Linked DNA regions of Mytilus edulis. The protein of the gene in region 2 purifies or fractionates together with the protein of the main gene of each other region. This does not show direct contact. Links are inferred from orthologs where the notes say so. Each region holds a gene or a part of one and is shown on either strand. Other genes may lie near its edges.

Evidence for each region. The genes of interacting proteins can lie anywhere in the genome.
Region 1: the proteins of exocyst complex component 1-like (region 2) and exocyst complex component 7-like purify together in Homo sapiens (affinity purification with mass spectrometry; 4 studies listed by BioGRID and IntAct, counting the BioPlex papers as one, with this or other methods). This does not show direct contact. The link is inferred for Mytilus edulis from reciprocal best matches to the Homo sapiens genes EXOC1 and EXOC7.

What each region holds. Positions count from the first base shown.
Region 1 is NC_092352.1:1,656,931-1,664,951, reverse strand, and holds the start of exocyst complex component 7-like, read left to right. Parts: upstream 1-5,007; 5' UTR 5,008-5,114; coding exon 5,115-5,165; intron 5,166-7,346; coding exon 7,347-7,512; intron 7,513-7,597; exon of another isoform or gene 7,598-7,656; intron 7,657-8,021. Other genes in the region: WW domain-binding protein 11-like, read right to left, coding at 46-143, 1,582-1,675, 1,920-1,951, 4,526-4,589. UniProt on the Homo sapiens protein: Component of the exocyst complex involved in the docking of exocytic vesicles with fusion sites on the plasma membrane.
Region 2 is NC_092351.1:13,976,050-13,983,442, reverse strand, and holds the start of exocyst complex component 1-like, read left to right. Parts: upstream 1-4,374; coding exon 4,375-4,411; exon of another isoform or gene 4,412-4,480; intron 4,481-4,556; exon of another isoform or gene 4,557-4,805; intron 4,806-7,393. Other genes in the region: uncharacterized protein, read right to left, coding at 3,945-4,240.

The sequences.
Region 1 (8,021 bases), on a different chromosome or scaffold from region 2:
CACACTCAGTACCATATTTTGTTAAATTGATAAAAACAAACTCACATATAACCTGACAACTCTCTGGAAAGTCTCCTTCAATTTTCTTCTTTTATCTTTTAGTACTTTTTCATTCAGTAATGGTGCTTCCACTGGATTATATTCTGAATAATAATAAAAAGACATTAAAGCTGACTATGCGGTATGGGCTTTGCTCATTGTTGAAGGCAGTACGGTGACCTATAGTTGTTAATTTCTATGTTATTTGGTCTCTTTTGCAGAGTTGTCTTATTGGCAATATACCACATCTTCTTTTTTATATTGTTTGTCAGTCACAGAAAGAAATAACAAAACATCCATACACACACATGACATATATCTTTCCCTTTATAAGATAACTGTGGCAACACCAATTTATCATTTGTTTTTTTCACCAACTTTAGTTCACTTAGATATATTAGAAACTTTCCTGTTTTTAGGAACATTAGTTTATTAAGGTATATAGACAACAGATCTGCCAAATTTCCAGATTTTTTGGGAATATATGGTACTCAATTAGATGTCCTGACCTAACTCTTCAATCCTCTATTTTATTTAATCAATTAAGAACCTCAAAACAGACAGTCAAAGGGCCAAAATTGCATTTTATCACACATATAATCAAACACATATTCATTCAACAGTGCTTTCCCGAAAGCCTTTTCCCTCAAGGTAATGTGATACTATATTGCTAGAATATGTAGGATGTGATGCTATCAGAAATGATTTTCTTAAAGATAGTGTTATGGATGTGATGCTATAAGTTTTAGAAACAAGATGGTATTTCAAAATTTCCTGTTTGCCAGGATGATATTAGAACTTTCTGAGGAGAACACTGTTCGATACCATAGTGTATAAGTTTAAATACTTGTGATATATATATAAAAAGAAACAGAATATGTCATGAATATTACGCATCAGTAGCAGATTTCTTCCTTTCCCTTCTTTCAGACTCAAAAAAAGAAATTTATATGATATGCATTAGGTCTTCTTGTGCTTTGAGAAGTTGGTTGGTTTATGATTTTTTTGATTTTTTCTTATTCAACAACAATATAATGGCACATGCTGTTAACAGATTTCTTCACTTGTACAGCTATTTCAGTGGAGATCCCTGTGTATAAGTACCTTAAGACTAGGGTATCCTCAGGTAGTACCTTAAGACTAGGGTATCCTCAGGTAGTACCTTAAGACTAGGGTATCCTCAGGTAGTACCTTAAGACTAGGGTATCCTCAGGTATATACTTATAATTTTGTTAGTATACATTATTTATCATTAATACATAATTTCTCTATTATTTTGCTATTCTAACTTTGAATATGAAGATTATGTATATTTATGAAAAAAAACTTTATTACACCATCAATTGTTACTATTTGATAGATGTCAAGAATAAAACTGAATAGCGGATTATAGAGTGTGTTTGGAATTTGGTTTGAGGTTTTAATATATTTCTATGTTGTCCAGTATAATGGTTTTTACAGTTTTTTTTGTGTGGATTAATAACTTTCACCACATGTTTTTGATTTCTACTATAATTATCATTTCAAGTTTATATTTTTTACCCATCTTGTCGATAATTTCCATCTCTGTCAGTAACTGTAGTGGATCTTTTCCCTTTAATACAGCCTGTCGTACTAGCATACGCTGCTTCTTGTTCTACAATTAAAACATAAATCATTTCAAATAAAGGGAAACAAATTTTACAATAATTTTTTAATTGACATACATATCAAACTATAAAACATGAATTGTTTATCATATATATGTATCATTGGACAAAAGTTAAAAGTTAAAAATTTTAAATAAATTTCAGGGCTATTTTGATTGATCTGAAATAACGGGAACAGCAACTTTTTATAAATTAAAAGCTGAAATTATAGTAAACATGGTAAATAGTTACCTTTTTTAATTCCCTCTTTCTTGCCTCTTTTCCTGTAAAAATAGAAATATGATACAAGACATTAACACTAATTTACTTCAACAACCAGCATGATAAAAGAATCATTTTTTTCTTTAATGCTTTATGTAACTCACTCATAAACATGATAAATAGAACCCCAAAAATTCTGTCATTAAGAATGAGTTGCACCAGCCAACCGGAGATGTTGTACATGTTGTAAATGACATAATCCAACAACTGGTTCTTACTGAAAGGTAATAACATAAGCATTGTAAGATAAAGAGTATGATCTTAGAAAGTCATCAAGAGAGCAAACAAAATTACTAGTTATTCTGTTACACGAGAGAGGTTTTATCTTTAACAAGCTACATTGTATATATAAAAGAGCAGAGTTCCAATGTCCCCTGTGTCGCACATATTTTATCTATCCAAGGGCAATTACTGAAAAGAATTTGTTCTTTATTATTTTTACAAATACATGTTTCTTTAGAGAAATGAAAAAATATTTGATCAGCACTGATTTTCAGCCTGATCATCAGCCTGATCAGAGATGATAATGAACCATAGTATATATCATGTATATATATATATATAGCTATAACAGGTAGAGTACTAATCATAAATCAGTTATTTTGGTCCAAACTTTAATTTGTAACAATTATGGATAAATGATATCAGTTTGCATTTCTGGGAACAGTTCATAAACCAAGTTTGATCCAACATTTGCTTCACAAGAAAATACCTGTATCAAGTCAGGAATTACATTCATTTAATGGATTTGATCTTTTAATTTTGCAATTTGATAAGGGTCCTAAGATTTCCAAGAGAACTCCCAAGAATAGAGTAATGACCAGATAACAAATAGATGTTTCCGAAAAACTACCTTGAAAATAAAATATGGTGTTATACTGCTTTTACCAATAGACATGATAGACGTATTTACACTTGTATGCAAATTTATCTCTCAATGAGTAAAATCACAAAAGTTCCTGTTTAATAAGGGATTTTTTGCCTTGGGGTTCAGTTTTTTTGTTAATCTACTTCTTATAATATATATATGTAGGACTCTAAAGTGCGATGGTCTACGCTAAAGTATGATGGTGTATCACGCTAAAGTGCGATGGATATTTGTTTGCTAAAGTTCGATGGAATATCACACTGAAGTGTGATGGACCAAAAGGGTAATGTTGACTGGCAAAAAACGTTGAAGAACACGGATGGAAAAAAAAAGAAAAAGAACACAGATGTTAATTAATAGTCTTTTTGCAAAAGCTAGTAGGATTTTTTTTTTAAATTCAGGCATATCAAATATTTTGATAATTAGCATAGCTTGCAGTTCACATGTACATGTAGTCTATCCCTTATGTGATCACCTTGTCATCGTAAATTACAAATACAAAATTCGTTCATTCATGTCATGTAACATTTATTTGTTTAAATCTTAATTCAAATGAGAGAGAAATGCAATGTTCTCCGAGCTTTCTCCTTTTTCACAGCGAGTACAAATACAGGTTGTATTTTCCTAAAATGTACAAAATAATGCTTTAGCAGACAATTTATGATTTATGCATGAAAACATGTACCTCTACTTTACCGACTTTTCAATAAATTGACAATATTTTAACAGGGACCGCAAAGTAAACTGTAACATAAACAATGATTTCAATGTATCAGTTAACATTACCTTCTAATAGAAGCAAGAAAAAGTATACTATTACTTGTGGCTATAACAGTCTGCACCAAAAACTTTTTCAACTACTAGTATGAAGACCAATATTCCAACATTTTTCTTATTGGTCCAACAAAGTTTTGCAATAACTTACTAGTCCATATAAAATTTTACTAGTCTTGGGCATCGGACTAGTGGCTAACTGTGCAGACTGGTATTATTTTGTATCTGTATAGTAAAATGCAAGACACTGTCAACGTATATTTGTTCTGCCTAACAGAAGTTCCAATGGAAACTTTGTTATAAACATTGTCATAATATCTTTTCTTGTTGGAACAAATATTCTATACCACTTCCAGAATATTTTTTCCTTTTGGAACTTATATTATGAAGGAACTTCTATTCCGTGACAACACAAGTCCTTCTTCCAGCACCCGATAAAAAAAACCATTTGCATCAGCAGACAAAGCACGGGTAGGTTTAAATTAAGTAAGTCATGGACATTTGGCTAAAGTTGTCAATCAAATATTCTACGTTTATCTTTCAGCATGTTAATTTTTTTTGTATAAACGACACGTCATAATCCATAGTACGTTTATTACTTCTATACTATCGCTGACCATCGCACTTTAGCGTGTGTAGGCATCGCACTTTAGCAAAGACCATAGCACTTTAGCGTGACCATCGTACTTTAGCGTCCACATTGCACTTTAAGTCCTACATATATATATATATATAGGCTGTTTTTTTAGGTTTATGAGTTTTCAAAGTGAATTGGTTATCAAGGGTAGTATATGCTTGTATGTTTCTCTCATGTCTCTTTGCGATGTGCTGATGGATCGTTGTACAATGTACATGTTGATGCTTGTTTGAATTGTGTTTATAAGTCTTCTTTTTGAAGTTCAATTAAAAAAATTGTTAGTTATAGGGTACTTACTGGCTTGGTCAGTGGGATTCATATATTTCCCACTTTTAGTGGTGTTAATTGAGCGGCGTCCCATGTTGGTATCTGCGTGATGACACCAACTTCAAAATAATGTTACAAAGTTTGCTGTCAGTCGCAGTAACTTGCAAATAGGATTGAGTGCTAAACTGAAACCAACAACATATCTGAAAATTGATAAAAGTTGTAGTCCTGCTCAATTGATACTACAATATTCATTTAAACGTCGAATTTAAAGCGTGATATTTTTTTCCATTTTTATCTTGCCGTAAGTGGAGCTAATGTTGCAAATAAAAAAGTTTTGTTATTGTTAATTTTTTGCATATAAGAATAGGCTGAATATACCGTTTGAATTAATATAAAACGCATTTATATCTTAAAATATTTCTGTATTTAATAAAAATAAAATAAAAAAATATTACGACATAGTCTTGCTCTTTTTGATGCTTTATCAAAGGAAAATTGTTATGGTTTACACAAAAATCAAATTGACTACGAATGCATAAAAATTAGCTGTCTGCTTCCCAGGAAGCTCAAGAAAATTGCTTTGTTTTGCCATTTAGGAGTAATAAGCGACCACAAAATGTCACAGACAAAGATATTCAAAGCAGACATCGACATGAAGCTTGAAAAAGTACGATTTTTCTATAGTTTTTTTCATGATGCCTTGATTGAAATTATATGGGTGGATCATAACATTTGCTATCCATCAGCAGCTGATCAGTCATACTCATAAGGTTGCTATGACTTTCAAATTTTCCAGATGCAGATGTTTGTCTGTACTCATTGCAAATTTTGAGGTGAAAACGCAGCCATTTTAGTCAAAGGGTAACCAATTTCACTTAAACCTTAAAGCAGACTCAAGAACTAGAAAAAAAAACATTAACTCTCATATAACAACATAGTGGGAGGATAGGATCTTTATCGGGACTCCAGGATCAGGTGTTTTTAAGCTCAGGATTTCAGGATCACATTGAAACTCGAATTTATTTATATTCAGGACCTCAGGATTTCGTGTTTTTAAGCCTGTGATTTCGGGATCAGGACCCCTCTTAGCTGCCCTCAACATACATACATCCATGGACTTTTACAGTCATTCAAACTTTCTATATACAATTTGACAGTGGAACCAGTTCCCCAGGTACCATATATACTATTTGCATCTCATTACAGGACATCACAAAGGTTCCTGTTAAATTTTGACGTCATAATACAAAATATCTGAAGCCACAATTGAAAAGTGATTGTTACATGATGTCAATAGTTCAAGCGGAGCAGATTCTCTGGTCAAACGGGACATATTTCCAAATAGGGATACGATGTATTGATAACATGGAACAGCTCACTTCAGCTGCTGGTCTATTAATAAACTGATAACACCAAAAAAGACTGACAAATCTACATGTAGTACACCAAACACAACATAAAAAAATAAAGACTAATTGACACAAACCCCACTAAAAACTGGAGAAGATCGCGGGTGCATTGGAAGTGTTAGCTGATCCTGCTCCACGTACGGCACCTCTTGTGTTTCTCATGTTAGTAGAAACCAGGTCATACATGTACATGTCATATTTAAGTCAAAGCAGTATTTCATACTCTTGAAAAGGGAACAGGCTTGTACTAAATTACTTACCACATAAGGCTCATATCTGCTACATGTATATCATCTGTGAAATTGATATTCCATAACCATGATAACGGTCAACTAATTAGTGATGGCTTCCGTAAAATTTACAAAGGGATGATTTATAATTTATCACATGGAAATTGTCCAATCTGTAATAATAAAATTATTTGGTGCAACTACCTTATCAACCTCCAATGTACAAAATGTTTACGTAGCAGGAAACATTTCAGTATGTTATTTGTTGCATTAATGGGGTAAAATAAAATCTGTTTCTTGCCTCCCAATAGACTAGTTTCTAATATATATGTAATAAGTAGATTTAATCAATGAACTGCCCAATTGGTCTAAGGATATTGTGAAATGATTTGTGACGTCTAATTATTCTAGGATAAAGCACATTTGAATTGACAAATACAAATTGCTGTTGTAGTTGTACTTACATATTGTATGTATGGTCAAAGAGAAAAAAAGACAAAATGACAAACACTGGTCAACAAAATATTTACATGAATTTAAGACACACAACGCAAAGCTAACTTATAACTATGGATAAGGCAGCTTTTTTAGGCCTTGTCCCCTGTTAGAGTAGACAGGTCCTGCTACACTAGTGGCACACCATGTTATTCATTTACCACAAGGAAAACATGTTTTAATAGCATCCTTGTTTTATGAGACTGTCATACAAGTGAGAGGTTTAGCTAGCTATAAGACCAGGTTTAATCCACCATTTTCTACATAAGATAATGCCTGTACCAAGCCAGGAATAAGATAGTTGTTATCCATTCATTTGATGCCTTTGTGCATTGATTTTGCCATTTGATTAAGACCTATCCATTTTGAATTTTCCGCTGAGTTTAGTATTTTTGCGATTTTACTTTGTACTATCAGATGTCCATGATAATTTCTTCTATGTATTATTTGCATACATTGTAACTCTTCAACAGCCTGTGAAGCCAGTATTTCAAACAGTCAAAACTAATGTACCCACCTGCTGATAGTGTGAGTCGGCAATACCAAACAAACATTGTTTTAAGGGTGGCCCCAGCTATTAAAATTTTCTGGTACTTTTGATACATTTCTGCATGCAAATAATTGTAACCCTATAGCTATCCATTGACCTGTCAACTGAAGAATCTTAAGGTTTAAAAAAAATAAATACTAACTATGTCAATTATATTATTTTAGGAGAAGAACAATTTGTCAATACTTAAAGAGGCCATGAACAAAAGTAGAACAAACACCCATGGTATGCTAGGGATACTTAATAGTTTTGAGAATCGTTTACAGAAGTTAGAAAGTACAATAGAACCTGTTTACAATGAAACAGAAATGTTGAGACGCAGACAAGAGAGTATCCTTCTTATAATCAAAATTATAAAAATGTATAGTATTTTATTGTGCTACCTTAATTTCATGGTTCTTTGATCATGTTTTAGTTTAAGCTCTGATGTTAGATCGATGTCTAGGATACTTCAGTACAGAACAAAGATACAAAGTATGTACATCATCTTTTCATGATTTAATGAACTATCCAAAATACAGATCAGAAGGATGGTGTTATCAATGTATATTTGTCTACATTACAAAAGTTCCCCTGTTAGCTCAGATGCTCGATAATAAACAACACCATAATATTTGTTCCTTTTGGAACAAATATCCTATAACCTTCGTTCTGTTTATATAAACAAATACTGTAATATTTCTTCCATTTGGAACTTATATTATAAGGAATGTATAAAATGTTTTATTTCATGCCAGTGTGACCATATTTTTGTGAACTTTCTAATATATAATAGTTTTAACAACAGTTTAACCACATTTTGTGATTAAGTGAAAAATGTGAAATTTTAGACCTGGCAT
Region 2 (7,393 bases):
AGAAATTCTTGCATTTAAACATTAAATGCAGTATTAAATAGGCTATTTATTGTCGTTTCATCATTTTTCTTATATTGTCTGTTTCTCTTAGACCTATAAAGTTTGATTGTTCCAATGATATATTCTGACTCTTCTTTTTTATAAACCGTAAGACTTAAATACATAACAAACACAATTGATGTACTAAAAATAAACAAGAAGATGCTGTATGATTGCCAATGTCAGAGACAACTTTCCACAAACTCTCCACAAGAGACCACCAAAATGACACAGAAATTAAACTATAGGTCATTGTATGGTCTTCAACAATGAGCAAAGCCTATACCGTATACCAGTAGTCACTGAGTCAGCTATAAAAGCCCATAAAATGACAATGTAAAACAATTAAAACTAGAAAACTAACAGCTTAATTTATACATGTACAAAAATTTTTATACTCTACTCTGAATTTTTAATAAAGGGATAGTTAAAATGATGTCATATCAAATAATAACATAAATGCTATATAAAAAAGTATTTTTTTTTGCATATTAGTAGTAGAATATTGGAATACAAATAAATACATTTATTTTTATGATATTTTTTACAATTTTAATAATTCTAGTCAGTCAATTTATGTAAACATATAAACAAATGAACCTTTGAATCCTTAGCATGCTTTAAAATTTGTACACCATTGTTTTTACTCATTCCAATTGCAAGCTAACTAGCAAAAAACTTAATAAAAAAATGACCTAAGTGAAATTGAGAATTTTACTAATTGCCTAAGGGACTATTTTCCTATTTTTTGCTTCAAACTGAAATGCGTGACTTAAATGTATATGCAATAAAAAACTGAAAGTGGAAAATGATTTTTTTCTCTCAAGAAATCAATTAAATGCTAAAACATACTTCTAATTAAGAAACACCAATAATGCATTTAACATGTTTAATATAAATCAGTGCTATAAGTGCTTATATGTCTTTAATCATGCAGCATAAAGCTGTTTTAAATTAGTTTCATATCCTTATTGATTCTAGGTATGTTTATAAAGCATAATACTCAGTACAATGTTTTATATGGATGATTTAAATCCATTCAAATCTTACATATCAGTTATTAAAAACCTAGATGATCAATTATTTTAAGGGTGATTGGATTTTTATAAACATATCATTTGATCTCCTTGTTTATAGGTTTTAAAATATTACATGGTGTTTTTGTTTTATTGTCAGAAATTTAAACTCAACAAAGATGGTCATAAACGATAAATAGTTTATTGTGGATATTAAAGTAGGGTTAGCACATGGTTAAATCAGGTATTGTTTTACTGCAGGTAATAAACATGTAGGGTTAAATATTGTGTTGGATTTAGAGACCACTTCAATAACATAATTGATAAATAATATTTTTTTTCTTCTTAATAAAGGAACATATCAAAATATTTTATACTGCAGACTTGTTTGTGATATTAAGAAATTGTTGTAAATGCTAAAACTTTTACTATTTTTCATATACAAAAAATTGGATCAAATAAATACTACTACTATAAAATTACTGTTTCTGGCCTTTACTGACTTTTTTCTCTCTCATTGTATATAGCTGATGATGTATTTTGAAACTTACATATATGTAGTTTTAAAATTATGTAAAATATTGTATATAATTAATCATTTACCTTAATAGTCTCTCATAATTCTTAATAGAATGGCACTTGTATATGTTTTAGTATTTTTAAGCTAATGATATTTTACAGTTAGTTTTATACAATATGTTTTATACATGTTATATATGTTATCCAATATTTCATGTTATACACAATGTTTTATATGTATATTGGAATGTATAATGTTATAAACAAGTGGTGAGACTTTAATAAAATATTGAATCTGAATCTCTCATAATTACCTATTTACCTAATTATATAATATCACATTTTTCATTTAGATATGTTCTTACAAGTTACAATGTCTTATGACATTCTGCAAAAGAGTCAATCTGAGTGTCAAGAATTAAACTTTAACTGTCATTAGAAAATATTAATTTGATAACAAAATTTGCCAATGAGGCTGATGCAGTAAATTATAAAGATGTATTTCTGAAAGCACCACTGAATACAACACTTCATTTAACAAATATAGTTTAGAACCATGCACAACTAGTCATTTAAAAAAATCATAGACTTTAAACAGCCAAAATACTTCTGGATGAATACATATCTTCTTGGTGTTTACCCGGTACTGCTTAGATTTTATCGAATTACATAGTAACTCAATATAAATCCTTAACTTACTTGCAATAGAGTGATTTTGAGTTTGTCATTCAGTTACATGTATGTGTGAAATGATTATTGAGTTATCTTTAATGAGAATGAATTTCTGAGAGGTATAATCTTACATAAATATACATCACAAACATGCAACTTTAAACATAGTACTAGTGAATACAATATGGCTGTCAATATTGGTCTCTTTCACATATATTTGCCATTTCCATTCTCAAATTTATTCGGTAATCAGAGGTGTGGACAGACAGAGAAAACATGTACATTGTATAATGTATGATTTAAAGTAAATTAACAGACTTCAGGTAAAATGCTGTTCCTTAATGAATCTTTTCCCCCCAGAAACTATATAATTATTCTTATTATATAATTCATGAAATAACAGTCAAAGTTTGAATTTGTGGTAGGATGAAAAATTATTAAAATAGACATGATAGAAATGCAGAACCAAGACTGACAGATTTCTTTAAATACATTTAAATAAATTTGTTAATTAGATTAATTTATGTTGTTATTTGTAAATAAATATATGTTGTCACATAGAATGATAGAATTGTAGATCCTTGTACATTTTATTAACATCTACATTTTTAAATTTTTAACTCATATGACAAATGTATGACATCATTACAGTTTGAAAACTATCTGAGACTAAAGGTAAATATTTGTTTCTGTTATTAACATGTTGTTAGTCAATGGAGAACTTGATCAGAAAAATACAGCACAATTTTCTTCATTAACAGACATTACGGCTATAAAAGTTTAATGTGAACTATAAAACCTGAGTTTTCCATTTACTAAATGTATAACAGTTCAGTGACAGTCTATACTAATCCCTGAATAGTTTATTATGTAAGCAGTCTTCACGCTGAGTGGCAGCGCAGGCTAGTTAAATTGCTCTCCTGCCTGTAAAAATCATATCTACAGGCCAACAGAATCTAACTAAAAATTTTCAAAAATAAAGCCTCGGGCCTGTATAGATCTAAAAGTTCGTTGTGAAGACTGTGTAGTCCTTAAAAAAACTGTCGACCCTAACAGTCCTTCCTATTCCTGATTTATTAATAAGCAGTCTCAATTAAGCCACTAGATTTTATAATTTTATAGACATTTGCGGCCATATCAGCCAACTGATTAGACCTGCAGATCAGGGACATGTACTGATTACATGTTCGCCCCGAGTTTGTTGGCCTATAGACATGATAGAGTCTGTTCGCCCAGGATTAATTTTGCTTTATGCTTTCATTAAAACATATTTATGTTACGGTTATTAAAGTTTAATAAATTTACGAAGAAGGTTGCAGCAATACAAATATTCAGCGATTTTTTAGTTCACTTTAACATACATTTGACAAGTTTAGTACTCTATTCAAATTATAAACATTCTGTGATTAAACATGAATAACAATGGAAAAAATTTTAAAAAAATACGGCGAATGGACCCTAGGTGAACAGATTTTGGGGCAAACAGACACAAGGGTAAGCATGAATCAGGGCGAAGGGACCATATACATTGTATCTACTGAGATATAGTTTAGAAATTAAGTTCCTTCATGTGTAGTGATAAAATATATATACCTCATAATTTATGATAAGAAATCATACCACAGTAAAACCATGATTTACAATGTTTGATTTGAGAATAAATATATTAGATTTTGCATTCTACAATATTTAACTTACTGACGTGGATGTGGCTTGTTTCGTCTACATCTGGATGAAGGACGTGATTGTGTTGCTTCATCTAAGAATTTCCCTTCAAAATGTGAATTGTAAGTTGTTGGATGGCGTGCTTGAGCTGACCAAATACGAGTTGCTTCATTTCTGATATTTAACAATTCATTATGATCTGGACCTGGATTATTGTACAATGCAAACTCCCTAAGTTTAGCCTTGTCAAGAGGCAAAGTTGCAGTTTTTGCTCTTCTCAAATTAGTAACAGGGTTTCCATAGCCCGGGAGAATATGACCCGTAGCCATTTTTTACTTTTTGTTATTTCTGTTTTTACGGCATGAGCAATTTCATGTATAAATACTTAACTTAATTAAACAAAATTTTCTGTAAAAACACCTGTGTTTACGCGCACCAAGCAACAAGATAAAACCGGAAGCGGATGTCATGCAGAATCTTATTTCCGGATGGAAATTACTGTCAAGTTATTTTTTTTTTTGTGAATTTTAGATGAAGTTTAGTGGAATAACATCTTATCTGTTAAAGAAGTAATCATTCTTTATTTCAATCTCATTCTTTTCGAACTCGCAAGTAAAACAAATCGTTAAGTAATTAAAAAAAACTGAAGTGGGAGGATGAAGTTTCTGCAGTTTGTTTATCAGTTTATGCTAAGACTTAGGATGATACACATTTAGTTAACTGGTATCAAGTCTTTTTTCTCCAAAAAGCCAGTACCTCCTAGCGTTCGCACCACACAAGTTTGACTCCTGAGTTTATGCACTCTTTGATTCGTTCCTGAAGGTGGCAGTTCCTGCTGGGTCATAAATACGTGGTCTTCACCCCACAGAAGCAACTCCTGATCAGGTTTTAGAAGTAAACTTATCACTTTCAAATATAAATAATTCCATTAGATATATGTTTCATTATAATACTTTATTATGATTGGCTAACTGGACATCACATGTTATTCCTTTAGCAATTGCATTGCTCAATAAAACTTTTCAGTCATGATAACACTGGTCCCACAATAAAGTGCACAGGTGAATTAAATAATAAATTATAAAATTCGTGTTTTCATGATCATAGCTAAAAAATGTAATTATAAGTATTGAATGCTTCTTTTTGTAACTTCATAGGGTTGTAAAAGCGTTGACCGTGCGCACATTTTTAGAATGAAGGGCTTTAGCGCTTCAAACAAAATGTACTTCGGTCAACGCTTTTACACCCCAATGAAGCTACAAAAAGAAGCATTGAATTCTTAAATAATAAAACGGTCTTAAAGAAATAAATGAACATTCATCAAATACATAAATTATAACTAAACATTGTTAAACATGTTAAAACAGCAACATAGTATTTGAGCATGTTTGAATAAAAATAAACAAAAAAAAAAACCCATTTAATGATAAATAATTGATCTGTCCAAACAAGGATTAGTGTTACTGTTACTTATACTATACAAATCCTTGATTGAAATTTAGGGGAATAACAAGGTTGCATTCTTTACATTTTGTTGTTCAAATTAATTAATGTTTAAAGATGTATCCTCGTCTCATGGGTTTTAGTGTTATTCAGAATGCATTATGACGTCACAATTTCCATTGAAAAAAGCATGCATGATACAAATTCATATTATTACACGAAAACATATGATCTACCATGCTAACCATACACATAATTTGATAATTCCGCCAAAGTGGTAACTTTGCCTGTCTGATAACTCTGCCCTTTCACCTCAGTGTGAAAACAATTCTTCTGCTATATTATTTCAATGAGTGTTTTGGGAATTTAAAGGTTCACGTTTGTGACTTTTTGTAAATAGTATAATAATTGCTAGCACATAACAGAAAAAAAAACAAGTTAGTAATCATTGTGCATGTTGTGTATAATTTTATAACAAAAATCTCTGTACTAAAGTAAAAGTGTGTGGATTTTCTACAAAAATCTTAGTTTTGATTTCTGCAAAATCCAAATTTCCTTCAAATGCAATGAAATGATAATTAAGGTAGATAGGGTGTCTTCCTCCATCTTGGATTTTGAAATACTAGAAAACAAGGTCTAGATCTTTGATGAAATGTTCAAATTTTTATAGTAGTAGGTAATTCATGTGTAAGAATTTTCATTATAATATAAAAAATGCCATGTTTGATCATATTTATGATTGTATTTTACAAAAATAAGAATTCTTTTGTTTGATTCATTTTTTTCCAACTTTGTCAAATAAGGGGAGGCAACTCAAATGCAAGGGCAGATAATTCAGATAGTGTTACTTTTACAATAGAATGTGTTAGGAATTTACCCATTTTTACATGTAGCAAGAAAACGAGTCTGGTGACCCCATTTTTTCTTTTTCTTATCTGAAAGCATAATATCGAAGCTATCTTCTCATATTTTATCTCAAAATTCTATGGTGTGGTTTGCGTTTTATGGCGGAAAAATGGGTTTTCCATGCATAATCTATACAAAATCTTGACAATTTTGAACAACCTGTAGCTTGAAAATAAGTCCGGTGACCCATTCTTTTTATTAATGTTTTTATACAAGCAGGATATGAACTACATTTTGGCAAATTATTAAAAGATTCTATGGATTATAATTTAGACACCCCATCTACCTTAATGATGTTTTCCATGAAGTTTCCCTTTAATATATACAAAATGGTCTCTCTTTTATTCATAATCTTTGCTTGATTGATACTATTGCAGTTAAAATTTATAATTCACATGGCTACAGAAGGGGTCACAACCTTAAGAAATATATTGACTTTGAAATAAAATTGTGCTATATTAAATTCCCTATCTAATGCACAGACTTTGAACCCATTTACAATTTCAAGGATGATGGTCAACAGTCAGGGGACTTACTGAAATAAGTGATTTTTAAATCACTTATTTGAGAAGCAAATTCGAGGTTTTGTCACAAATTGGGATTTTGTAGTTTTTTCAAAATTTTAAACACATAGGTTTAAATAATATCTTTTAATTATTAAAATTAAAAAATAGGAACTTTTGGCTTCTTTTAAGTAGCAAGGTTTATGCCTTTGATGCTATCATTTAGCTGAAAATTCTATTTTAGTTGAAAAAATGCTATAATAATGGCTTTATATAATGAACTGATACTTTCTTAAAAGATTTTTCACAGCAGTGGGAGTATTTTTCCAGTGAAGTTCAAGGTTTCATCTTTCAGATTATGTAATAAAATTCTACTGTTCGCGATAAAAATATCACTGTTCGGGGGGTGTTGAAATTAGTAGGGGTTATTACAAGAATGATACTTAAAGAAGTGATTTTTGGGAAGGAAATTGAGGTCTGGTACTTAAACAAGTGATTTTTATGTCATTATCCTAGATTCAGTACAAGGTCATCACCTGAAATGACCTGGTCATCCTAGACAACACAGATGCTGGTTCTGATAAGTTTAGAAACATAATTAGTCCCTGGATCATTAGTATTTTACATTTA